Linked DNA regions of Arabidopsis thaliana. The protein of the gene in region 2 interacts with the protein of the main gene of each other region in a pairwise test. Each region holds a gene or a part of one and is shown on either strand. Other genes may lie near its edges. The genes, in order: SCAR4, RAC6, AT2G34150 and SCAR2.

What was found.
Region 1: the proteins of RAC6 (region 2) and SCAR4 interact in a two-hybrid assay, tested with the Arabidopsis thaliana proteins (one study listed by BioGRID).
Region 3: the proteins of RAC6 (region 2) and AT2G34150 interact in a two-hybrid assay, tested with the Arabidopsis thaliana proteins (one study listed by BioGRID).
Region 4: the proteins of RAC6 (region 2) and SCAR2 interact in a two-hybrid assay, tested with the Arabidopsis thaliana proteins (one study listed by BioGRID).

What each region holds. Positions count from the first base shown.
Region 1 is NC_003076.8:272,324-279,587, reverse strand, and holds SCAR4 (SCAR family protein 4), read left to right. Parts: upstream 1-1,701; 5' UTR 1,702-1,905; exon of another isoform or gene 1,906-1,991; 5' UTR 1,992-2,026; coding exon 2,027-2,181; intron 2,182-2,506; coding exon 2,507-2,670; exon of another isoform or gene 2,671-2,761; coding exon 2,762-2,885; intron 2,886-2,968; coding exon 2,969-3,098; intron 3,099-3,161; exon of another isoform or gene 3,162-3,234; coding exon 3,235-3,296; exon of another isoform or gene 3,297-3,408; coding exon 3,409-6,034; exon of another isoform or gene 6,035-6,112; coding exon 6,113-6,199; coding exon of another isoform or gene 6,200-6,253; exon of another isoform or gene 6,254-6,282; coding exon 6,283-6,396; coding exon of another isoform or gene 6,397-6,423; exon of another isoform or gene 6,424-6,518; coding exon 6,519-6,569; 3' UTR 6,570-6,756; downstream 6,757-7,264. UniProt on the Arabidopsis thaliana protein: Involved in regulation of actin and microtubule organization. Part of a WAVE complex that activates the Arp2/3 complex. Regulates trichome branch positioning and expansion.
Region 2 is NC_003075.7:17,023,309-17,027,775, reverse strand, and holds RAC6 (RAC-like 6), read left to right. Parts: upstream 1-1,909; 5' UTR 1,910-2,261; coding exon 2,262-2,360; intron 2,361-2,480; coding exon 2,481-2,568; intron 2,569-2,654; coding exon 2,655-2,764; intron 2,765-2,838; coding exon 2,839-2,902; intron 2,903-3,328; coding exon 3,329-3,393; intron 3,394-3,470; coding exon 3,471-3,536; intron 3,537-3,623; coding exon 3,624-3,725; 3' UTR 3,726-3,939; downstream 3,940-4,467. Other genes in the region: AT4G35940 (uncharacterized protein), read right to left, coding at 4,183-4,467. UniProt on the Arabidopsis thaliana protein: May be involved in cell polarity control during the actin-dependent tip growth of pollen tubes.
Region 3 is NC_003071.7:14,418,734-14,425,375, reverse strand, and holds AT2G34150 (SCAR family protein), read left to right. Parts: upstream 1-1,904; 5' UTR 1,905-2,116; coding exon 2,117-2,271; intron 2,272-2,514; coding exon 2,515-2,678; intron 2,679-2,684; exon of another isoform or gene 2,685-2,970; coding exon 2,971-3,094; intron 3,095-3,201; coding exon 3,202-3,298; exon of another isoform or gene 3,299-3,329; coding exon of another isoform or gene 3,330-3,389; coding exon 3,390-3,457; intron 3,458-3,535; coding exon 3,536-5,132; intron 5,133-5,219; coding exon 5,220-5,315; intron 5,316-5,684; coding exon 5,685-5,789; intron 5,790-5,884; coding exon 5,885-5,944; 3' UTR 5,945-6,113; downstream 6,114-6,642. UniProt on the Arabidopsis thaliana protein: Involved in regulation of actin and microtubule organization. Part of a WAVE complex that activates the Arp2/3 complex. Regulates trichome branch positioning and expansion.
Region 4 is NC_003071.7:16,093,339-16,101,261, reverse strand, and holds SCAR2 (SCAR homolog 2), read right to left. Parts: upstream 6,028-7,923; 5' UTR 5,713-6,027; coding exon 5,558-5,712; intron 5,380-5,557; coding exon 5,216-5,379; intron 5,133-5,215; coding exon 5,009-5,132; intron 4,921-5,008; coding exon 4,791-4,920; intron 4,606-4,790; coding exon 4,544-4,605; intron 4,422-4,543; coding exon 1,106-4,421; intron 1,026-1,105; coding exon 939-1,025; intron 849-938; coding exon 741-848; intron 465-740; coding exon 411-464; 3' UTR 41-410; downstream 1-40. Other genes in the region: AT2G38430 (uncharacterized protein), read left to right, coding at 6,452-6,752, 6,921-7,089, 7,175-7,331, 7,416-7,496, 7,664-7,771, 7,866-7,923.

The DNA.
Region 1 (7,264 bases), on a different chromosome or scaffold from region 2:
GAAGCCAAGCCACGAGTTCTGGTTTAGTATAAAAGTTAGTATAGGTTAATTTGTTTTTTCTTTTTTTTTTAACACCATCATTATACGTATAAATAAACATAAATACAGTCACAAGCGCAAACATGTAAAACCAAACTTTTCATTTTATATGATATTCACATTCATAGCAAAAAACTACTATACACGATTGAATTTCTTGTTTAAACTTTGGATTGAGTTTCTTGTTACATCTAAGGTTCTCAGTGTAATGAATTCTCTACGGTGCACAAGTTTGTAATCAATACACTTGGATCAATAGCCGCTGGACTCAACTACATGATCTCTGGTTTATTAGAAAAACCAAATGAGATGCAATTTAGTTTGGGATTAAAACAATGAAGAGAAACGTGTGCTGGGCCATAAGTACACTGCATGTATATCAAAGTTTGATCAAGTGTCAAATAAAATGATACAAACAAGACACATACATAAAAATTGGAATTTAATTGCGACGTCCTGGTTAAGTGCACCTTGTGGAATGTGTCAGTTTTTGATTGGGTCTCAGCCTTCCTTTGGGGTCGACTCACCTCTTCCTCCTTTCTCTATCTTGTACCAATAATCTCTTCAGAAACTAATGCATGTATAGGAAACGGGGATATATATCAAAATAGTTGCTCGTATATGATTTGTCGTCCACACAAAATGCGTCTCATTTATTACAACATATAAATGAAAGAAACGCGTCTAATACATGAGAGTATGATTATAGCTAAAACAAACTAAGCTTGTAATAGTAATTCTTATATAAACCATCCCTCGCCATAGAATTTTGAACCTCGAAATCACTAATTATCCAGCCATTTCTGAGCTGTATTTCAAAATTGTGGGTTTTATATATTATTAAGATATATACAAAATTATAAGGTCAGTAATTCTTCTTTGATCGACCAATGTAGAAGGGGCAGGTACCAAACACAAGCCTAGGCATAGTGATAACGTTTGGTGACCTGTTTCCATCGTACTCAAAAACGACCTTTGCTCAACTTGATACGCTGCGTTTCATTTATTCCTTGCTGTGGATTTTAGCATATTTATCCAGCACTTTAATATGGGTCATGGAATGGGCTCATAACAGTTTACTGTCTTCTATTAGACTCAAATAAGTCCATCAGGCCCAACCATTTAAGGTCGTCATTTGATGTTTGACTTTTTAACGACACATCATGCACGACGAATTAAGCTCATTACATAACATCAGGATGGTAATAACAATCTACCAAACCATACTTTATCATATAAAGAATATATACTGTATGCGTTTATATATTTAACATTTACTGGAGTATTTTTTGGCCCAAAAATAAATGGAGTAATCATTTAATCTTTCCTTGGAAGCCTTGCGTGATATTAGTGCTTTTGATTTGAACTGCATTATCAAATAAATTTAAAGACATACGAAGAATTGAATAGAAGAATGTATTCTATGCTAATAAATCGACGAGAAATATATATATAATTCCCACTATTTGATCACTATTGGTAGTCAATAATATAAAAAAAGAATTATAATTAAAATAAAAAACTTAGGTGAAGGTGGATGTAACGATCAAAAGCAGGTTGAATACACTAACTGATTTCAACCACAACCACTTGTAGACAATATACTTGTAGTACAATATAATTGATTTGCAATAATTATAATACCTTATGATTCTAAGCAAAGTTTGTCCATCTTTAAGCATGGATAATCAACGGTTTTAACTACTTTCATGTTCACCGGTTGAATAAATTATTTTACCTGAGGTTCTGATCACATGCGGCAACCACACGGTGAGGCGATGATTATAACCGTTGGATGAATGTCACGGACCGTTATATAAATTCCACCACTCTCGCGTCGTTAAAATTAATTAAAAATCTATAAAGGTAAAAGATTTCATCTTTCTCCTGACGCGTTTTGGCGGTTCGTTCTGCACAGTTTCTTCTTCTGATGCTCTTTTTTTGTTTTTAAGAATTAAGGGTTTCTACTTTAATCGATTGGAGCACAATGGCATTGACGAGATACCAGATACGGAACGAGTACGGCTTAGCGGATAAGGAGCTCTACCAATCCGCCGATAAGGAGGATCCTGAAGCTTTGCTCGAAGCTGCTTCCATGGCTGGTCTCGTCGGCGTTTTGCGCCAGCTTGGCGACCTCTCTGAGTATGTTTTTTTTTTTTTTTTTTTTAATTCAATTTCGGTCCAATATACCCTACCGTTTGAGGAATTTTACTGTAGAGAATGGGACACTGAAGGTTCCGTGGAATTGAATTTCGATGCTATATACTCTGAATCTAGAGAAAACCTGAATCTAGGGTGGTCTCTTTGTTTTTTGCTTAAAAATCTTATTCGGTGTAGTTCAAGTTTCTTGTGTGCTGATGAGATGATTTTTCTTCTTTTGGTTATCTAATTCTAATGAAACCTCTATGTCGCTATGGAATCAATCCCTTGGCATTTATGTTCTTTTGTCTCTTTTCATACTAATAAGGTTTGCTGCTGAGGTATTCCATTGCCTGCATGAGCAACTAATGACAACTGCAGCACGAGGTCATGGTTTGGCGATGCGTCTCCAACACCTCGAAGCAGACTTCCCTTCAGTTGAGATACCCATTCTCTCTCAAACCGATCATTCTACATTCTTTTATGAGCCAGGCCAGTCATCTATCTTACTCTAATGTTTAGTATAAGAGATATAAGCTGCTATTGGTGATCCCAAGCACTGAATTGTTAGTTAGGTCCTCAGGCTTGGAATGGCATTCTGATCTGCAAACAAAAGAAGACTTGATTTCCCCACGGAACTTGCCTCGTTGTATAATGGATTCGTACGAGGAATGCCATGGTCCGCCGCAGCTTTTCCTTCTCGACAAGTACATTTCAGTATATCATGAGAATTTTCACCATAAGGAAATATCCATTTGCAGTTTTTAATCATGTTTCTGCTGTTATTCAGGTTTGATGTTGCTGGGTCTGGATCATGCTTGAAGCGTTACTCTGATCCATCTTTATTGAAGACACATACTACATCAGCAGTAGTAGCAACATCCAAACTCGGGAAAGATAAGCGACTACGTCAATCAAAGGTATTCAATCATGTTACACATTTCCTAATTCTGGTTTTACTATGCCCACTCTGCCACTGTCTGTAAAAATAAGCATCTGAAAAATGCACATTTGGGTATTATGTGTTACATATGATCAAATCTATTTCAAATACAGAAGAAAGGATCTCACACAACTATTAAAGAGACGCCTGAGGATTCACGGACATCACATGCCAAGTGAGCACTCTTGCTCTATATCTACTTCTGTTTCTGTCATTCCTATGTCTAAAGTTCATATATGTGATCGGCACTTGATTTGGTGACATGAGCTACTTTTTGGATAGTACAGGTTGCATCAGCTATTCTTTTTGGAGCATGTTGAGAACGGACACAGAAATCCTGAATTCCATGTGAAACTGAAGAGAAGACAGCTGAATGGACCTCCGATTAACTCAAGCTCTGGGGCAAGTTACATGGAGAAATTCCTCAAGAATTCTTCACCATACTGTGAAAGAGTTCATGGGACTATGGATCAGTCATCTCCGGCAATGGAAACTGAAGTTACAGTATGCAGTGAACAAGAAGACTTACCAATACCTTCCTTAGTTTATTCCAACAGTGGAGGCACTAGAAAATACAATGAGATGGAGATAGAATCCATTGCTGGTCATGAAATACTTGAAATTCCTTTTGTTCCTCACGAGATTACGGTTAATGAGAAGTCACCAGTGGTTTGTTTAGAAAGTAGCTCTTCTGTGAATTTGTGTTGCAAGACGAACAATGACGCAGATTCACCTGCTTCCACGGAGTCAGAGGTAAAGGAAGCAGGGAGTGATGACAAGGCTGGATGTGACCATGGATTTCCAGGATTTGGTCAGCCGCAGATCTGTACTAATGCAGAAGTGAATCAAACAGAGGTTCTGACTCAGTTTTCTAATGTTTTGCGCCACTCACCGGAGGAAGGAGAATCTAGTCTTTTGTGTACTGATATCCAGAGAGCTTCTCCTGAAAGTAAACCACATAAAGCTGAAGAGGCTGCTGTAGATTTAGACGAGTCATTTTCCCAGATGACACCGGACATAGATTCCGCAGGCATGGGGACTCTGGAGATCTTACAAACACCTTTCAGTTTGTCTTGCTACGAGAGTCCTGCAAATCTTCCCGAAGATTCTGGAAGTCACTTGGAGCTTCAGTCCAATAAAGCAAATGCTGAAGCTTGTGAGGTCTTTGAAGTCAGAAGGGATCCCATGCTTAATATTTCCCCTGAAACTCATCTTTTAAAGGTTACACAAGTGCCACAGGACGCATATGAGGGTGGGACCAATGATGTTCATTCTCAACATGTTTTCAGTGTGGAGACTGCATCTGAGATATCTGTAAGTGCTTTAGTGGAAGACCAGTTCTCTTCCATAACCAATCAAGAGATAGAGGCTCTGGAATCCGAGGACATTTCTTCTGAAGCTGGTCATTTCATTCCAGATACCAAAAAGAGTTTAAATGAAACATCAGTGGCATTGGAGTCCGATTTTCTTCTTCCAAATCATTACATTAGCACATTTGACAACTTTGAAGATTTATCTCTGTCTGCTGATGCACAGGATTATGCTGCCCCAAAAGAAGATGAAACGAACTCCCAAGACGGATCTTCCATGAATCCTGCACAGTCAAAACACATTTCAACTTCTGAAATCAGTTCAGAAAATGGAACTCTGATGTCAGATACTCCAAGAGATCTTCACACAGGATACGGGAGCCTCTCAGCCTCATCTTGTCTGGAAGACGGATTGGCCAACCCTGATCTGGCTGAGATATCATCATATTCTGGACAGGAGGATCCACAAACCATGTCTATTGTTTCAGATGATAGTAGTGACCCTGAGGTACCAATTCCTGATGGTACTTGTTTTGCAGGTGATGTCGATCACGATAACCAGACTGGCCTGAATAATAAGGCCATTGAGACCGTGCCCCAGAAAGAATTGGAAACTATTAGTGATCCACAGGAGAGTCTTTTAGGTACAGAAGAATGTCTTTCATCTGAGTATTGCTTACAGATACAGAACCAAAGGCAAGAAAGTCCATCAGAAACAGGGTCAGCAAATTCAAGAACATCATCAGACGAGTCTCCTCCTACACAAAATGGATCTGTTGGTGTTCAAAGTTCACCTTTAGATGTTTTTCCTTCAAGCATAACTGAAATAGAAGCTCTTCATGCACCATACCAGGAAATTTTCACATCATTAAATGATCATATCTCTGAGTCTGTTCTTTCCAAGGGTCTGACTGATGAAGAAGATTTCTTGAACGTATCCCCTGAGTCCATACTACCCCTCTCCACGTCCCTCCATGAAACACCTCAGGCAAATCCGGAGATAACACCTCCGCTTCCGCCTCTTCCTCCGACACAATGGTGGATGGGGAAGCTGGTTGAATCAACCGAAATGCCATCACTTGCAGGCAGTGGAAACAACAGTTTCAACATCCAGAGGGATGAAAACACACAGAATGGATCAGTTCAAGCGAACGAGGCACAATATCCATCAGAAGTGTCGGTTACAGATGGTGAAAACCATAATTTTCATATTTATACAGAAGAATCTAAAGCAACCGAGGAACAGTCTCCTTCAGGAGTCAATGGGACAAGCGACACCTATATGGAAAGTAAACACAAGTGTTTAAATAGAACTCCGGAGGATTCATTTTCTTTGGCAGAATCGGCCCAAGGCTTAGAAGCTGACTGGAGGACTGAAGCAATGGCACTTGAATGGTTTAGTCAGAACTTAAGAGAGCATAACAATCCCCACCCTGCAAAGTTAGAAGAGGAAGAGCCTCAGGTTGATCACCCACTAGAAAAACCTGGACAAACCAAATTTCGACAAACCTTGCGAGACAATAACTCATATAATCAGAATCAGAAAGCTGGAAAGCTTAAAAGAGACGAGGATACGCTTGTTATTGGCATTGACAGAAGCATGGTTAGTACTTCAATGGCTTATTTTTCTCTTCTCTCTCTCACGCGTTAATCATGAGACTCAATTTGTGTTTGATTACAGTTGAGGAAAGTATCTGAAGGGAACAGGACACACGTTGGAGCTCGAGTGGACGAGAATGATTCACTACTAGAGATCATACGGAGCAAGGTCAAATCACCATTTCATCTTTTCCTTTTCACTTTATTCAGTTTTCTATTATAGAACATTTAACTTGAAAAAAACTTTAGCAGTCGTTCAACCTGAGACCAGCAGATGCCTCAGGGAGACCAAACTTTCAAGTAGCTGTTCCCAAAACCAACTTGAAGGTGGCTGCAATTCTAGAGAAAGCCAACACTCTTCGCCAGGTCTCTCCCTCTCTCCTTCTTGGTTAAATTTGGACACTTGATATAATAATCTGTTGCACAAAGAAAAAGATATAATAATCTTGGGGATCGATAAAGTGGTTTTGTGACATACATATAAATAGGCAATGGCGGGAAGTGACGACGAGCACGATTCAGATAGCTGGAGCGAGTGAGTCGTTGAATCAAATCTGCAGGTAACAAACATATAGATCACACTCTGTATAGAAGAATTCTCACATTGTATGTATTCTCACAAGTAATGTTTTTATTGCTGTATTTTTGACACATTGTAAGTCACTCTGTTTTTTTCCCCTTTATATGTACACCCAATTTTACCCTCTTTTAAAGGGAATCAATCCAGTTGATGTTTCAGCATATTTGCATGTTTGATCTTTTCACATAAACAAATACTTTACATAAGTAAAAGTAAGTGTTATAGGACTTGTAATTTACATCAAGATACATTTTAAATTCAACCTTCATCAGTGCATATGCACAAATCAACAAGTATGATAAATACTGATAGTAGATGAAAAACGATGTTGGAGAGCAAAGTATTTTTAAAAGTCAAGAAACGCTAAGTTTTTGTTATGACTTCTCTGATTTGTTCAAACTTTTTGAAATTTGAAGTGTGAACTGGAATGCTACTAGTCGTCGTTGGAATATTTAGCCACGTAGTGTATGTCTGAGTCTCCTTGAACAATCGTTTCCAAGTTGAAAAAAGAAAAGAAGTGATAATAAAAAGTCAAGTCTAAGAGTTGAATTGTCATCAAAGTACGATTAGTGGAAGTGGTACGGTATACGTGTAAACGATCCTAGGAATATTCCGTACGATATCCGGCCTAACACGGTCAAGAGTCATAACGTC
Region 2 (4,467 bases):
GTCTTTTTTCTAGTTGAAAAACCAAAGAGAGAGAGAGTCAGAGAGCTCAAAGTTCATCCAAAGTTAATCGAGAGCAAGTTTCATTCCTCTCAACAAAGTTCGTCCAAGGTTTCTCGTAGTCACTAGCCGAACTCTGCTTTTAAGATTGGTAAGAATTCTTAGATGTTTCCTTACTTTTCTACGACTTATGTTGTTGATCGAAACACTTTCATGGTCTATTCTTCTCACTAAAGTTTCGTCAGTTTCAGTTTTACGCATCATACTATTTTCACTTTGTCTAAACTCACATCTTCCTCTGTTTTCTTTTTCGAGTGTTCTTGCAGGTTTCTCTCCAAGCAAATAGCTAGAAATGGAAGGCTCATCAAGCTTCACTACAACCAACGCAAAGAAAGAAAAACAGAGAGCGTTCACCCAATTTCCCCGTGATTTCATTATATACTATCATCGTAATCAAGAACTCTGCTTTGAGACTCTGCTTTAGGGTTTGGTAAGAATCTGATGTTTCTCCTTTTTGTTTGACGAATTGAGCCGTGTATTTTCTGAAACATCTTGATTTTGGGAATTGTAGTCATAATGTTAAAGAGAGTTATTATAGTGTAATTTATCTTTGAGAAATTTCTGCCATCTAAACTGTTTCTGACAATTACAGGTGAGAGAGAGAAGAGATAAATGATCCGTCACAGTCACGACAAACGATCCACGGCAACCTTTGGCGGTGATAGCGGGCTTGTTGCGCCGGGGTATCATCTTGGACTTCCAGTTGACTACTCGCCGTGATGTTCAGGGTTAGTTTCATCAATGCTCTTCTTATATGTCTCTCTCAGTCGTTACTCTGTTAAAAGCCATATAATAAATCGTAGACTTGGTGAGTTATTTGGTCGGATTTTATAGATTAACTCTCTCATTCATCCATATGTAGCTCGTGTATTTATGATTTTTATGATTTTTTGTCATTGCATATTTTCAAACTTGTTAGTAATTTTGGAATGTTGATTTGATAAAACTGATTCCAACTCCACGAATCCTGGTTTATCAAAACTGTGATTGTATCATCGTACACACATCAAATAAAAACTTTTACTTTGAACATTTTCAAATGCTAACTTTTTCCGACAAATTAATTACATGGTTTGTGAAAGATTCCCAACTCTTAACGTTTTTGTTCTCGCTGTCGCAGGTTTTCTTATCAAGGAAGGTTACGTTGACCCGAATAAGTTCATTAGCATAGACATCTTTCCTCACGAAAGGCAAATATGACCAATGTTGACATTTTACATACTCGGTAAAATATTTGTTAGTTGAGATTATTGCAATTTTTGGCAGAAAATATTACCACACTTTGTTGACATACAAATAAGTTCAGGTTTGGTCCATACACCACATTCTCACTAGCCAACATGCAAATTCAACTAACCACATTCAATATCATCAAACATCCTTGAAATTTTAACATAAATTTGGCGAGTATGCGGAAGAACTAGTGCATTACAACTTTATTGTACCGCAATTGGCTGATTGGTTTCATAAATATTGAATCATAACTTAGAGATTTTTTCACATTTGGTGAGCATCCGGAAAAACTAGTAAAAAAATGAATTAGAATAGTAAAACAAATCGTACTAGAAATTTTACAGACAGTTAAAAACACGTATAATTTTAGCCAGTGTTAATTTTTCTTATTTGCATTTTAAACAACAAAGACAAAATACATTATGTGCAACTCCTTTATTTTACTTTTTTGTATACAAGATAAATAAATTAATTTGAATATACACTAAAAAATCAAACAGAAAAAAGAAGAAGAAGTAAAATAGTAATTATTTAAAAGACAACAGAAGAAGTAAAAAAAGTAAAAAGATTGCAAAACAGTCGGAAGGTTGAATGGCTGAGATTAATCGAACGCTTCAATGGCAATTATTTCCGGCCATCACTTTCTTCTCTACTTCTTTCTTTCTCTCTCTAGTTGTTGTTCTCTCTCTCTCTCGCATCCTCCAATTCATCGTCCTCACGTTCCCTTTTGTTTATTCATCTTCCTTCCTTCTTCACATTTCTGATTTTCTCTATTTGGGGGGTTTGTTTCCACATTATACATATCTAGGGTTTTGAGATGGTTAATTGAAAGATAATGGTCGAAGTTTCGGAGGAATTGGCTTCACATTGTGGGTGTTTCTGGCTTCCTCAGGTTTAAATCTGAGGTTGATCTCTTTTGTTTTTTGGTAAATTGTGACATATTTTGGCTCGAAGAAGAAGAAGAAGAGGCAATGAGCGCATCAAGGTTCATAAAGTGCGTCACCGTTGGTGATGGAGCTGTTGGTAAAACCTGTTTGCTGATTTCTTATACCAGCAACACCTTTCCCACGGTATTCATCAATCATTCTCCCTCCTTTTTTTGATATCTGATTCATTTGATTCTGATTGTGCCATATATGAATTGGGATCCATACATACTAAAAATGTTGTATACATTTCCATTGGAACAGGATTATGTTCCGACTGTTTTCGATAACTTTAGTGCAAATGTGGTTGTTAATGGAGCCACGGTGAATCTTGGATTGTGGGATACTGCAGGTAATGAATGATGATCCAATTCATAATCCTTGGTGAGAGAGCTTTCCTTGATGAATCGGTCGAAATTATGTTTTTGGTTTATGCAGGGCAAGAGGACTATAACAGATTAAGACCTTTGAGTTACCGTGGTGCTGATGTTTTCATTCTTGCCTTCTCTCTCATTAGTAAGGCTAGTTATGAGAATGTTTCCAAGAAGGTCAGTTTCGTCCGAACTGGTCGACTATTTAACAATTGAGAGTTCCAAATTTTGATGCTTCTTTTCTTTTACAGTGGATTCCTGAGTTGAAGCACTATGCTCCTGGTGTCCCAATTGTCCTTGTTGGAACCAAACTAGGTTACTTCCTCCTCTCACATTTGTCCTTGTTTATGCATTTATTTATATATATGTCTGATTCCCATGCTTACACTGCCATTTTCCTTTTCACTTTATTAAGCTGCTCTGGTATAATATATCATGACATTAGTGGACATAAAACTTCACCTTCTCTTGATTGTGGTTAAAACTTGTACATGTTCAAGATGTATTCGTTAGGTGAAACTGAGGGTAGTTTTCAGAGAATATCATTGGTCAACAGGCTTCTTCTTGTATCTTGCACTTCTTGTGATAAAGCAACCATATCCTATAACACACGCCTTTAAGCATCCTCCAATGAAATAGCTACTGTATAGCAAGTGTATACCTTTATAAAAGACACTTGCAAGATCTTCAGTCAACTCATGATCCTGGCCTTTTTGATTGTCTAACCTTGGTTGTTGTCAGATCTTCGAGATGACAAACAGTTTTTCATCGACCATCCTGGTGCTGTCCCTATTACCACTGTTCAGGTAAGAATACAGTTATTTCCTCAGTGCAATTTTATCAGCTTTACCACCGTTAAGCATTTTCCCTCTCTGCATGGAAGGGAGAGGAGCTGAAGAAGCTAATTGGAGCGCCAGCTTACATCGAGTGCAGTTCAAAATCACAAGAGGTAAACGAATAAAAGACATCTCATGAATCATCTTTTCGGTGTTGGATTCTTCATCTTTTGATGAAAACAATGTGACTATAACTGCAGAACGTGAAGGGCGTGTTTGATGCAGCGATCAGAGTGGTCCTTCAACCTCCAAAGCAGAAGAAAAAGAAGAACAAAGCACAAAAGGCCTGCTCCATCTTGTAATAGCACTCATGGAAGTCAAGAAGCTCTTTGAGATGAGGATGACAGGGTGGTTTAAAAAAGTATCGCTTTTTCATTTTTGTTGTTGTTTTCCGTTTTCATTTGTGATCTCTTAGTTCCGTACAAAACGAATTGTGAGGTTAATTCAACTTCTATTTTAACTGATAGCCGAGAAAGCTTGTCTAGTTATTTACAAATGTTTTATCAATTGTGATAATGTTACTAATCCACTTCACATGAAAATTCCATTTCGATTTCTCATTCTATTATTATAAGAACAAGAGAGATTGAGACGAAATACTGATATTACTATATTGGTTACCAACCGCAAAGAATAACAAACAGTGTGTTCTTCTTATACAACCTTGGAATTTTAAGGCTAAACCAAAAAACTGTCTGGTCCAGAACATGGATGTCTCGACCAGATTCCTTGTTAAAAACTTCCTGCTCTTTGATGTTATCAGAACGGGACTGTGTAAGGTAAGGCGTAGACATCAGCTTCTGGTAAAAGGCGAGCACATGGCCACCCCATTGTATTGCCTACTTGCTTGATCTCATTCTCTCTATTAAGTTGTTTGCATATTTCTGTGGTGCTACTTGGCGGCTTCTTCATGGACCACCAACATTCTTCATCTTCAGAGTTAATGAGGTCTACTCTTCTCTCGATCGTGTTAGGGACCCAATTCTCAACTACGTCCAAGAATTGCAACACCATGGATGGAGGGCAATTGCATAGGCTTTTAGG
Region 3 (6,642 bases), on a different chromosome or scaffold from region 2:
AAAACCTGCCTCTCATAAAATCAACTAACAACATATTGACGTTTTCGAAAAATACGATATCTAATTATGGTATCATGTCTTAATCCGACACCGTACTGTATATGCCACGTTTCATCCAAGAACAAGGCATTGATGCCATCGATGGGTCATTGGACCAATTCTTGTTTTATATTTATGCAAATGATTAATATACTACTACTATATTAGTATATTGTTACTTATACTATTTTATATGTCAAATTATATGAGAATGCTAGTGCACCATTCGATGGTCTGATCTTTAATCAAAGCACATTTCGAGATTTACTATGATATAAAAAAAAACATGAGATGACCGCCAATTTTGTTTTGTTAACCAATTTCGTGTTTAAAATTTATGTATATTTTTCAGCAATGTTGTAGTTTTTATTTAAACCATTGAGTTTTGTAAGTGTCACTTTATTGACCGCCATTTTTTGTGAAGAGTTACTTGTGATTGATAATATATGATGGAAAACAATGCAATAGTATAGCTCATAGAATCTGCGTCAAAGATTACCATTAATGGTTGATAGGAGTAGCAAGTAACAACTTATAAAATATTTAATGGACAGAACAATTTAGGAGTAATAATAAATAATAAATGACATGTGATTAAATTTATGTTTAGGTAGCATCCATAAATAGACGACCAGCTAAAAGTCATGCATTGATCTAATCGCATCACTTATTTAATAATACTATACCTACCAAGGACCATAAGAATTGATTACTTCTAATACTGTGTATTAGCTTGTATGGAGTACTGGAGTAGTACTGTGGATCTTCGATCCATATGTCTGAACTGTAGTTTATAAATAAAATGTATTTATATGTTAGTATCAAGAAAAACGACAAAAGAATTCGAGTTGATAAATTGCTTTGGTTAATGGGAGCCAGATCCAAAACTCTAGAAGCACAGATCTAAAATGCTTGTGCATGATTTATTATTGTGTATATATGCCTAAACGAGGATGGAGTAAGTCACACATCCACATGCATGTGTGCAAGTCCTCAAGTAGTGTAAGATATAGATGTATGAATACATTCACCCACACGCGCACACACTACGCAGCGTGTGTAGATGGAAGATATTATGCAACTCTTGTAACATCAAACTTGATTGTATAGATCAAGGATGCGAGAGGCACACCATTACGGCAATACATACACTTCCGCTTTACTAGATTCATTATGAAAATCTTTGAATTGTACCATCATCATTCATATATAGTTGGTGTCAAAAACAAAAACAAATCACAGCTATAGAGTTTGAGTACAAGTGTTACGTATGTATTGATGCCTCATTTATGGGAGTTTTGTTCTCCAATAAATATGTAGCCAACTCAACAAGTCTATTTCCTCGCAAACGACCAAATTCTCATTCAATGATTCAAACTTTAACGCTATCTAAACTGTAACGCATTTCTATTTTATAATAGAAGTCTTCAAATGCTCATTCAATGATCCAAACTTTAACTTCTAGTTTTATACTCCATATTTGTGCAAAATGTATATGATATAATATTACAAGTAGTAGAAGTTTTTTGTTTTAGTAGCTAGTAGTAGAAGATTAAGCAGAGTAAGTTCTCATTAGATGACTTAAGCATACAAATATAGTATTACAAGTAGGGGTTATACACATGACTAAAAATGTTTATAGTTCTTTTTAAATAATTTATGTTTAGCACTAACAAATTCTTATAAAAACTAAAGTTTATTTTCGGGAAATTATGTAAGTAACAAATGACTAATTTGGATCATGATTCGCTCCATATGGGTAGGTTATGGGTACCTTTCTTTTTGCTCCAAGCCCTTTTTCGTAATTTTCTCTTAGCACTTTTAGTTAAAATGATGACATTGAAAAAGGGAATGGCTTGCGGTGTTAGCAATGTCTCCGAGTCTCTCTTTTCTCTTTTTACAACGAAAAACCTTTTTGTAATCTCCAAATTTTCCCTCTCTCTCTCGTTTCGGCGGTTAAGCTGCCATAATCTCTCACCCACCTCAAGCAACATAACCCACAAAAACTCAATCTTTGTTTCTTATCTTCAAAACCCATCTGATCATTCCTCCGGAATCTTTCTCAAGAACAGAGCAAATGCCGCTTGTTAGGCTCCAAGTTAGGAATGTCTACGGTTTAGGGCAAAAAGAGCTTCACACAAAAGTCGACCGTGAAGACCCTAAAGCGATTCTCGACGACGTCGCCGTTTCTGGACTCGTCGGGATCTTGCGTCAACTCGGTGATCTCACAGAGTAAGTAGTACTTTAAGTCAACTCTGTTTCCTCTGTTTCTTTTTTTTTATAATTGACTTATAAATGTTTTTAAAAAAAAAAAAATCTTAAGTAAAAATGTGACAATATGGAGTCAGTGATCTTCTTTGATTCTCTGTAAAATCTTTAATTTTGCTGTGTTTGGTCTTCTTCATTTGCTTATTTTATGGTTCTCAGCCAATCTTACTTGTCCTGAGTTTTTATGTTAAACTCACATTGTTTCAGATTCGCAGCAGAGATATTCCATGGAATACAAGAGGAGGTAATGATAACAGCATCAAGAAGCAACAAATTGAAGATGAGATTGAAGCAAATAGAAGCTAAAGTTCCTACAATCCAAAAGACAGTGCTTGCACAAACAAATCACATTCATTTTGCATACACTGGAGGTTTCTTTTGTCTTGTTTCTCTTGTCAATCTTCTTTAATGTCTAGATTCACATGTTTGTTCTTTAATCAAAAATTTATATCCTGTTGAGTTTATTGTAGGCCCTAGCTCACATGCCTTTTGCACTAACTTCTTAGCTTAAAATACTCTTTTTTGAGTTTAGAATTTGATGATGAATGATACTAGTAGTCTTTCTTATGGATCTTAATTAAATAAGTCATGATCTTTCACTATTTGAGTTCTTTAGAAAATTTAAGTATAGTTAATGAACATAGTGTTTACATGCTGTTTTAGGTCTGGAGTGGCATCCTCGTATACCAAATGTGCAAAATCACTTTATGTATGACGAATTGCCACCGTTTATTATGACTCCATATGAAGATTGCCGGGAACCTCCGCGGTTACACTTGCTTGACAAGTATATACACCTTTTAACTCTCATTTTCTTTTTTGTTATTACTGTTTCTGCTATGTTTTAGACTGATGATAATAAATATGATGCTGATTCTTAGCGGTTTTTGTCAGATTTGATATAAATGGTCCAGGTTCTTGTTTGAAACGATACTCGGATCCTACTCATTTCAAAAGAGCATCAAGAGCTTCTAAACCTTCAGAGATTAAGGTTTGTTTTAGAGATTCAGTCTGTTAATACCATGTTTTGTAGAGTTTCTTCTTTTTCTTGTTTGCTACCTAAACTTGTATGGATGATGCAGAAGAAAAAATCTATACAACGCGGTCGAGATATATCAAGACTTGCCTCTGTGGCTAACCAGAGTGACAGGTAATGACATTTGGATTTGACATTGTAGAGATGTTTTCATATATGACTCAAAACATGAATATATGATATGATGTTCAGGAAGACATGTACTTCTTTAAGCTTCAGTGGACGAACCTCTACCTCTAAAACTGCTTCAACGATTGAAATTGAGTCGAAATCCGACTTGCAAGAGCATCGTTCTTTCTCTTTCGATTCAAGAAGTGGTGGAGAGAAACCGAAGAGGGTATCTTCTTCTTCAAGGTTTACACCGGGTTCTCGCACCATTGCTTCAGTTCTTTCTGAAAGTGAAAGTGAAAGTGATAGTCCTTCTCAAGATTTAACAGCTCGTGGTTCTTCTAGTGTTAGTTGGCACGAGAAAGCTGAGATAGTGGAATGCAATGTTCTGCAGTGTGCAACAGATGAAGCTCCTGAAGTAATGGAAACTAACTTTGTCTTGGATGCTGAACCGGTATCAAGACTTAAAGAACATTCAGCGGTTGAAGCGGTCCAAGATATCAAACCGAAGGAACTGGAAATGGACAATGAGGATGAGACTGAAAGCGAAGGGGATGATTTTGTTGATGCACTTTACACCATCGATTCAGAATCTGAAAATGATGAAGCTTTCCAAGCCACTAAAGAGGTGCAGAAGAATCTTTACAATGATATTACAGAGCAAGAAACAGAGAAGATTTCTAACAACTTTAGTGTTGATGAGACAAAATGTGCTGCTACATCAGAGCTACATTTATCATCATCACCGGTATATAAATCTGATGAACTGATTCATCAAGATCCATGGGCGGCTTCGGAAATAAGTAGTGGCACTCATAGTTATTCCAATGGCTTCTCAAATCCTTTGTATGATATTAGTGGTATCCAAGAACATCAAGAATCAGAAGAAGTTGAGAGTTCTTGTGACACTGAATCCATTAAAACATGGACTAATGGAAATCTCCTAGGACTGAAACCATCGAAACCGAAAATTATAGCAGAAACTATTCCAGAGATTGTTGAAGACATTGATTCTGAAACCTTCCAAGAGCACTTAAGAGAAGATTATAAGGCTCCTTTTGATTGGTTTACTTCATCTCCTCCACTTGATCACATGAAAATATCTTTCAAATCCTCAGAAACCTTGCCAAGTTCTGAACTACAGCTAAAACTTCCAGATGAATATACATTTTCTTCGTTTCAGTTGGTGCCAGAGACTATTGCTACTTCACTTCCTGATTCTGATTCAGACAAGGACACTTTCTGTAGATCTTCTTCTTACATTTCAGACAACAGTGACAATGACAATCGCTCTGTGTCAATGTCTGAGCAACAGTGGGAAGAAGAATCAGAAGGTATCCGAGAAAGCAAGAGGCAACAAGAGCTCTATGATTCGTTTCACAGAGTCAATGCTGAAGCTTCTTCTCTACCAGTTCCATTTCCAAAGATTGAAACAACAAATGGTTGTTTAGTTGAAAATGTCTCTTACCTCCAAAATCCAGCTGAGCCATTACCACCGCCTCTCCCACCGTTACAGTGGATGGTTTCGAAAATACCGTCAGCTGGATTCGAGGATAACAACAAGCAGTCTCTAAAGGATGCTCTCACACAGGCATTTGAGAAGAACAACAATTCTTTAACTGCAGTCAAGAAAAAAGAACCACACATTGTCACTGTTTCTGATCCTAAACTTGTAACCAAGGTATGGAGAATTAAGTTTTCTTCTCCTTTTTACTGTTTTTTTTTTTTCATCTTTTTGGTATAAGGTATTTTATGTGATGGTTGATAGGTACATCTGAAGAACAATGTGAGGGATTATAAGCAAAGTCATGGCAACACAAATGAGACAGAAGCTGGAGACTTCTTGCATCAAATTCGAACTAAAGTGAGTCTTTTATTCTTGCTTTATATTTTAGCTATATAGAAAATTTCTGTGGTATATGAAAATGCATTCCCTATTCTATTAATTCAAAGTAACCTTTATTAAGGAACATATTTACATAATCGATAATTAAAAAAAAAAAAAACTCAAACCCTTAAAACTAAAAATATATACATTTGTTTTCGTATTTCATTTTTGTCCCGGTTCCCTCTTAATCGAAATGGAAATATATTTTGAACATGTTTTTAGTTTCGTTTGTATAGGAATGAAATGGGAGAAATGATTTTTTGATCCTCCAATTCTCATTTCTGTTTCCACAAAGTCATAAAATGCATTTTTCTTAACCAACAACAACCTTTTGAATCATAACAGCAATTCAACTTGAGACGTGTGGTCAGGACAAAGACATCATCATCAGAAACTACAATGAACACCAATATTAGCGTGATTCTAGAGAAGGCAAACTCTATCCGACAGGTTCCATACATTATTCACATTTATAATCTTACGTTTCAGTTTGCAAGTACCATTTTGGTCATTAAAGCACTTACATTTCGGACTTGTTATATCAGGCTGTAGCAAGCGACGATGGAGAAGGCGAAAGCGATACATGGAGCGATAGCGACACATGACAACATCATTCATTTCGGTTCTCATATGTTTATTGTGTAGTAGATATAGGTCGATTTTGTCGTACGTTTATATTTGTATCTTCAACAAAGAGATAAGGTTCTGAAAAATAAAATAATTATAGAATATGTTACGTCTGAATCTCTAGATGATTATTGATAATTAAACAAACAAAAGAACTGAATTAATTATTTTTTTAAACAAATTATTTAGGTATACATTAAAACGTGAGTTGGCAAATATAGGATCTTGGAAAATAATCATTAGTACTATATAAGTACCCGAAGCCCTAAGCCGTGAAATTCGCTGTGTTCTTTAATTTGAGTCAGTACTTGACACACTAGAAAAAAGATTATGTCCTTGTTTGTACACTTCTTTAAATATTTTCACTTTCTATCTGATACAACAAAAGATAAGCATTTTTTATTTTTTTTTGATCAAAGATAAGCATTTGATATGCTTCTTAGTTCTTACAATTTCACGAGAATTATTTTATACATAATGAATTTCGTTATTAAAGTTAAATTTCTTAAACTTTTATGTTCGGAAAAATTATTTCTAAAAGAAAGAGAATCAGAAATTATTTTGATTGGATCACTAGAGCAAAGCAAAATTGGCGAGACAGCCAGATTTACCAAAAAAGATGCAACCACAAACACTAAAAAGTCTAAAATCAAGTGGGTGACTGGGTGGTAGTCTA
Region 4 (7,923 bases), on a different chromosome or scaffold from region 2:
CACTAACTAGCTGATTCTCATAGATATTCGTTATCCAAATGACCAAATATACAGTCAAAGGACACTGCAAATGATTGAGAACACACAATACATATCTATGTATGTATTCAAATACACATACATAGCCTACTAAAAGAATGTTCTATGAGCTAAAAAAAAGAACGAAACATTCCTACACACAAATTTCCGTAAAACTACTGCAAATTTCGGAATCTACTTACATTACAACATACACACACCTATAAAACAGTACACAATATACATACATACATATATAAATAACCAATGACTGTATGTATTTAATGTTATATGTCTGAAATAGAGATTGTATAACCTACCTGACTCCAAGTGCTTGCGCACTCATCATGATACAAGAACGAACACCACGGAAAAGCCAACGATCATCGATTTCAAGAATCACTCCAACTATCTGAATCTTCATCCTCGTCGCTTCCAGCCATTGCCTGCACCAGTGTTCAACCGGTTTTAGATGTGTGTGCGATAGAGAAAAAGTGATATTTTATTTGGTCTATGATCAGGCTTATAATTCATTGTTTCCACTTAAGAGACTGCTTCGGATCCAATCTAAGACATAATGTGAGACTAAACTCCTCAGATTTTCATGTCAAATTGAAATGCTTTGACATGAAGCCTCTACGATTAGCAAGGACCACAGAAAAAGGTGAAAAAACTTGAAAACATTTACTATCTTTGAAGGAGATGGAAAGAGAGTAACGAACCATGCGTATTGTATTTGCTTTCTCTAAGATTGCAGCTACCCTTAAGTCTGTTCTAGGACCAGTCTGGATGCTGGGTCGTGTTGTTACTGCCGGCTTTAGATTGACGGACTGCATAAACAAAACACAACTCATAAAATTCCAAATACAAAATTCTGTTCACAGGACCATCTGGGATTTTACATGATCAACATGTGCTACCTTGTTTCGTATTTGTGCAAGCAACGAATCTTTGTCATCTTGCTTTGATTTGATTGGTGGATGGACCATCTCAGAGACTTTCTTCATCTGGCAAATCATCAGAACAAGTGATTAGAGACATAATCTTAGCAAAGGCATGGTATTGCAGACAAGATGAAATTTTGTACCTTGCGTCTGTCATGAGCTGCAACAGCATCGACAAGCGGACTTCTTGGCCTAGGAAGCCTAACCGTAGGGACCACTTCTGTCTTATATGTGTCCAAGGTAGGTGCCACAGAGAAACAGCTAACAGGCCACATAGCATCTCCCACTGAAACAGGATTTATCTTCTGAACTGACGTGTTTGATGATTCTGCAGTTTCTGCATTTGAAGCATCAGGAACCGAATGACCCTTATCTTCTACCTTTGTTGATTGAGTTGGCGTCAGGGATTTGGTTTCAGGACAATGGTGATCATCGCTTGAACTTTGAGATTCATGCACATCAGCATCGTCCTTGAAATCTTCGTGTTTAACCTGAGGCAGCTGCAATGACGACGCTTGAGAGTAAACGAGCTCGTGGTTCTGAGCTGCATGGTCAGCCAAAAGATTGTTCTCCTCAGAACCAAAATCCTCTATGCACTCCTGATAAGGTATTGTAGGGAGCTCAGAACTGTCGTATTGACTATTCAAATCAGTGCTCATGGTTGGGAACTGAATGGATGATTGCAATGGCTTTTCTGATGCATTGTGAACAAACCCTCCAGGAAGTCGTTCTGATTCGTCACTTCCTAAAGATACAGATAGCTCTGATGGTGGAGACCCAATTTGAACATTCAAGCTAGAACCAATGGGTGGTGCCGCTGATAAAGCAGAACTACTGGTTTCGACTGATTCCCCCATGAAGGTAGGAAAAGAATGTGGAACCTTTCCAATAAGCCATTGCATAGGAGGAAGGGGTGGCATGTCCTCTGGATTGGGCGGAATAGTCTCAGGGATAAAACCAAAGCTAGGAAAAGTAGGATCCAGATTCAACTCTTGCTTAGGTCTGTTCAATTCTATACCTGCAGATTGTGGTGCAAATTCTAAGCCTGCTGATTGTGGTTCAAACTCTAAGCCCCTGAAAACATTTGACTGCAGCAATTCCTCATCTGCAACTTCATGGCTTGCATAAGATGTTTGCTCTCTAACTGCCTGGTCGATAGCCTCACTCTCTAAAAGGTTCAGATTATACACTTGTGTGGAATCTATGCAATTATCATCAAGAATGCTCTCACCAGGAGATTTGGTTTCTGTGTCCCTGTTCCTTTGATCCAGAGATGGCTTGGGACTTGTAGATTCAATACTTTCTACGTCCTTGTTGTCTGGTTCAGTACTCAGACCTTCTGAAGACACTTCCAGAGGGCTTTTATGCATTTTTATTTCCGACTCTGGATTATTGTCTTCCAGTAGTGTCCCGTCAGACTCTACAACTGTATCATGGAAAATCTCTCCAGCATCAGAAGACGATTGATAAGTATTGGTCGAAATCCAAGGCAGAGAACCCTTCCCACGAGTCGATGACAGACTAACGGCATGATTAACACCACCACTGGAAGTGTCATTGTCATTATCAGACACATCAAGCTCAACGTTCGGGACAATGTCTGTGGTTGCGTTGTCCAGCCCTGAAAGGTCATGAAAACCTTCATGAGAGATATGGTCATCGCATTTGCTACAAGTAGGTGAAGCATCTCCCGCCAATTTCTCTACTCCCGAGTTAAAATCAGAAGGCACGGACATTCCATTCTCTAGTGTGTCTTCATGGGACTCTGAAACAGACACATCAGCCGTGTTGCCAAAGGCACATGAATGCTCATCGGAGATCTCAGCAACTGAACTTTGAGAATCAATGTCAGCAACTGAACTTTGAGAACCAACGTCGGCAACAGAATTTTTAGAATCAACGTCAACAACAACATTAGTCACTGAAACACAATCGGTTTCATCATCCAGAGTATCTTTTAAGTGAATTCCATCAGCTGAACTTGGACCACAGACTTTAGAGGGCGTATCAGGGGAAACTTCCATCCCCACCCCAGCTGAGCAAGGTACCAGCTTTCCTGTTAGGCAACGACCATCACGTTCTTCAGGATCGCTGCCTGAGTTTGCTAAAACTTCAGAACAAGCAACTATAGAGTTTGTCTCAAAATCAGTATCAGCGATAGGTAACTGTTTACCAGTTTGACTATCAACAAACGCTTGAGGACTAGTGCCTGAGTTTACTAAATTTGAAGCAACCATACAGTTCTTCTCAATGGTACTATCACATCTGCTTCCTTCAGAAGTTGAACTAATTGATGAAGTTTCAGAAGGCAAGTCAGAGTTTTTAGCATCAAAAGATGCACAAGATTTTGAAGAATCGAATGGATCCACCTTTCTTCCATCATTGCCTCCCTTCATTAGATCAAGCCTAACAAGTTCTGGAGAAGTTTCAACGACTTCTGATGCTAAAGATTGAACTGTCAGTGAACATGATTGATCATTCTGAGAGACTGGCCTTGGACTTGAACATGTACCATTCGAACTTAATGATGTCTGGCCATCTACATTGCTGCTACTAACTGATTCCTGAACATTCAAGTCATGAGACACTTTGTTGGCTTCAGGAGTAACGTGAGACATAGAATCCACCAACTCACTCTTAAAACTAGAAGTAGAAGGTAAACATCCCGAAAGTTTCTCTCCATCAGATTGATCATCAATGGATATGCTTGCAGTGTCCGAGTAAGAATAACTAGTGCTCTTTTTCCCAAACGAGCTTCGCCCATTTTCCGAAACTGGTGTGTTTCCATTTGAATGAGAAAATGAAAACTGAGGTGGGTCCTCCATTCTCTCTTCAACCGCATCAGAATATATATGATGGTTCCCATCCTTCAAAGTATCTGATCTACTCTTAGGTCTACACTCATCGTCTGTTTCTGTTTCCGACTCCATGGTGGCTGGTGCGTCCACATAATTGTCAGCCTCACTGGTTAAATCTTCAGAATAACTCCTCTGTTGAAAAAATCCTGGCTTCCCGTTCAAAACCGTTTGTGAATCCTGTGTAATAGTTGTTCCACGGACCTCATTGTATGTAGATTCAGGCACTGTCTCTATATCTTTTTCAATAAAACCCCCATTCATGTTAACATTTGCCACATTTTCCTGCTCACTTGGGAATGAAACCTCTGCTCTGCTTCCTCCATGAGACTTATCCATAGCACCCACCATACTGATTTCAGGTATATCGGTTACTACATCTCTAGCACTATCCATATTCCATGTCAACAATCCGGGGTTTTGGGTAATTATTTCATAACTTATCTTACTATCTACACGTGTCTGCACAAATTTCTCCATGTAGCTTTCCCCTGATTTTGAAATAAGGGAACACCCATCTAGCTTTCTGGTTTTCAACTTCACAACGCGCGCTGGATCTGAATGATGAGCCTCTAAATGCTCCTCCAAAAACAATTCATGCAATCTGTGCCAGTTGAATAATTGAAACCAGCCATTTTTAGTCACAGTCAGATACCAATATAGGAACTACATATATATCATAACAGAAATGACAAACACACAAGACATAAAATAGATAATACTCACTTGGCATGTGATGATAATGCATTTTCAGGTGTCCCTCCATTCCTCCACTGAGATGCTCTCCTCTACAAGAGAATAGAAGGAAAACTATGAGAATCACAAAATGGAAGGTAAGATTACACATTCAAAACACCATGAGCATAAGAAAATCTACTATTCAGAAAATCTACCATGTAATGGAAACCAAAATATAACCAAGAAGGATCACACTGCAACCCATAAGCTACAACCTGAACTAAGAAGCTAGTACCTTTGCTTTCTGTGATTTTTTCTCTCTCTGAATATCATCCCATGATTCTTCATATGAAGACGTTTCAAGCCTAACAAACGATGGATCGGTGTAGCGTTTCAAACAAGCCCCAGCTCCGGAAATATCAAACCTAATCAAAACCATCAGAAGATGTTACATATATCCTTCTCTAACAAACGACTAAAGAAGAAGTCCTATCAAACAAGGCTAAATCATACTTGTCCAGAAGAAATAGCCTTGGAGGACCTCGACATTCCTCATAAGAATCCATCACACAACGAGGTAAGTCACCACTTGTAACCACACTCTGTTCCAATTGTAGATTCGGATGCCATTCCACACCTGAAATAGAGTCACAGAATCATGTTGAAATAATCCAACATCATAGTAGCTGACCAGATCATGAATGTTCATAGCAATCTAACCTTTGTTAGAGAAAAACGGCGAATGATCGGTTTGACACAGTAATGCCTTCTCTATAGAAGGAAACTCTGCTTCCAACTGTTGCACACGAGCCATTAAACCATGGCTTCTAGAAGCAGTAGCCATTACTTCTTCGTGCAAGTCATGAAACATCTCAGCAGCAAACCTTCATCACAAATTACATGAATTTAAAGACAATTCCATCAAAAAATCAAAACTTTTTCCACTTCCACAACCAAATCCAGATTCATCAAAATTGTCGCTTTACAACAACGGATTCCAAAACTTCGAATTCGATGCGCTTAGAGATCAATTAGAGAAATTTCGATTGGAGAGAAACTTACTCAGCGAGATCACCGAGTTGACGCAAAATGCCAACGAGACCAGCCATAGCGACTCCTTCAAGCAGAGCTTCAGGGTCATCTTTATCAGCAGCTTGATACAGATCCGGATCTGCTAATCCATACTCGTTACGAGATTGGTACCTCGTCAACGGCATTGTTTGAGCTTCTCTGTCTGATCAGCTCGCTGATACTTTTGTTCAAATTCTAAAGGTAAGAACTTTAGAAAGAAGAAGACTAGAAAAGCTTCTCTGTCTTCATTTAAGTAGTGACCGACCACCATTAGATATGTGACGACATCACTTAGCTGGAAACTAAAACGGACTTTCTGTGGATTCAAGACGGCGGATATAGGTAGGGGCAAAGAGAGAGAGAGAGAGTCTGAGAACCTCAACGCTAAAAGACTTTTTAAGAAAACATTTCTTTTTCTATTTTTCGATAGCCAGAAATACTTAAAAAATTGTTACTTTTAGTGAAAAATTCTTACAAAACCAAAACCTTGTTGCAATAAAACCTGCATTTAAGACCAAACCCCTCGGGAACCTGATAGTTTCAGGCTTGAGGTTTGTCCAATTGTGATCCCTATCGAAACCAAACACAATCTAATTAAAGTCATTTTTGAGAAACGGATGAGAGTTAATTGAAAGATTAAAAAGGGAGCGAAGAGTCTATTTGAGTGTCACTGTTACTTCTCTGCAGGAATATTAAAAGACGTTGAGTTTCGACTACAGCCTACAGGTATGATTCGACTTCTCTCTTCTCACCTTAAAGTTTCTGTCTTTATATTCTTCTTCGCTCGTTGTAAAGCAATTCTTATTTGAGCTCCAAGTTTGAGATTTTTTTGTTTTATCTTGAAATCGTTTTTGGTTGATGTTGTTGTGAGTTTCAGGTTTAGACATGTCTTATATTCCACCACATAAGAGGCATTCGAAGGATCCGACAAAGCCTACCCCTGTTCCAGATTCTCTTGTTACAAAATTCAAGAAGAACCTTGACTTTAAGAGTAGCACTAGCAGTGTTAAACGCAACAAGATTATCTATTCAGGAGATTCCATTTCCAAATGGTTTCTTGTTGGTTCAAATGGAATTGAGGACGATGTTCCTTCGTATGTTAAGTTTGTGCCCTTGTCCTCAGATTCTGTCGAGTGTAGAAAAGGAGAAAAGCCTTCAATACTGATGAACAACAATGTCCAAAATGGTAAGAAACTATTAGTAGACTTTGGCTATGTGTTTGACAAAATGAATATCATCTAGATGCTGAAATAAACAATACTATTAACTATTTTGTTTGTGCTATTATCGTTTTTGCCAAAAGAAGATGCATTGTATCTATGTTGAGTATGGTTTTTTATATGTTTATATTCAGTGAATATGAATATTGGAGAGAGGAAGGATGAGAGAACTCAGTGGCTATTAGTAGCTGAGAAGGTTATGGAGGATCTTGTGTTGGCATATGAGCGAGTTAAGACTGAAATGAAGGAGCATCATCATGTATCGAGACTGGTTGCTCGGTTTGGTAAAATTTTCTTCTATGGGTAAGCGATTCACCGTCTGATCTCACATTTTGCTGTTTTCAGGAATGGGTTTATATTTTTTCTAACATATACAACTTTAAACCAGGAGTCAAGCTGGTCCTGTGGCTGAATGTTCACTAAAAAACTTGAATAAGATGTTCTCTACTGATCTCCCAATGTCTTACTTACAACACATAAAATCTAATGTTGTACCAAGCCATGGATTCTCTATTGATAAGGAGAAGGAAACATACACTGTGAAGGTACTCGTTTCATTTTCTTAGATTTAGATCTATACTTCGAATGTCATTTGAATGTGCTAATTTGGGTTTGGCTTCTATTTTTAGGTATCGCATTATTCTCGTCCTAATGCAACCATCAACTGTAAATGTACCCGTAAGGAAGATGGACGGCTCAGTATGTACAAGGCAAGTCTCGAGTTTTATGTGTGTAGTGACTACAACCAATAGTAAAATCTCTTCTTTATTGTTCTCGGACTAGCAAGAAAAACAAACAAGAATTTGATAGATGTCACATTTTTACTTGGTCTTCCTTTAATATCTAACTTTGAATCTTGAGTTTTGCTTTTATATAGGTCGACCTTAATCCTGTAAGGCATTTGGTTGTTGATGTGTCATGCATTGATAAGAATCTCGACATGAGACTAACGCTCACCGCTAAGAGGGAAATAACGTATCTCAGTGTAAGTTCAAGTTTGGTATATATATTTTACAATATATGGATAAATAATATGCTCTTCTTAGACTTAGGTTGTGTGATCTTTCTTTGATCGGCAGGATAAAGAGATAGGTGACATTAAAGCGCTATTGGAATCAGCAACTGTTGATCCAAATG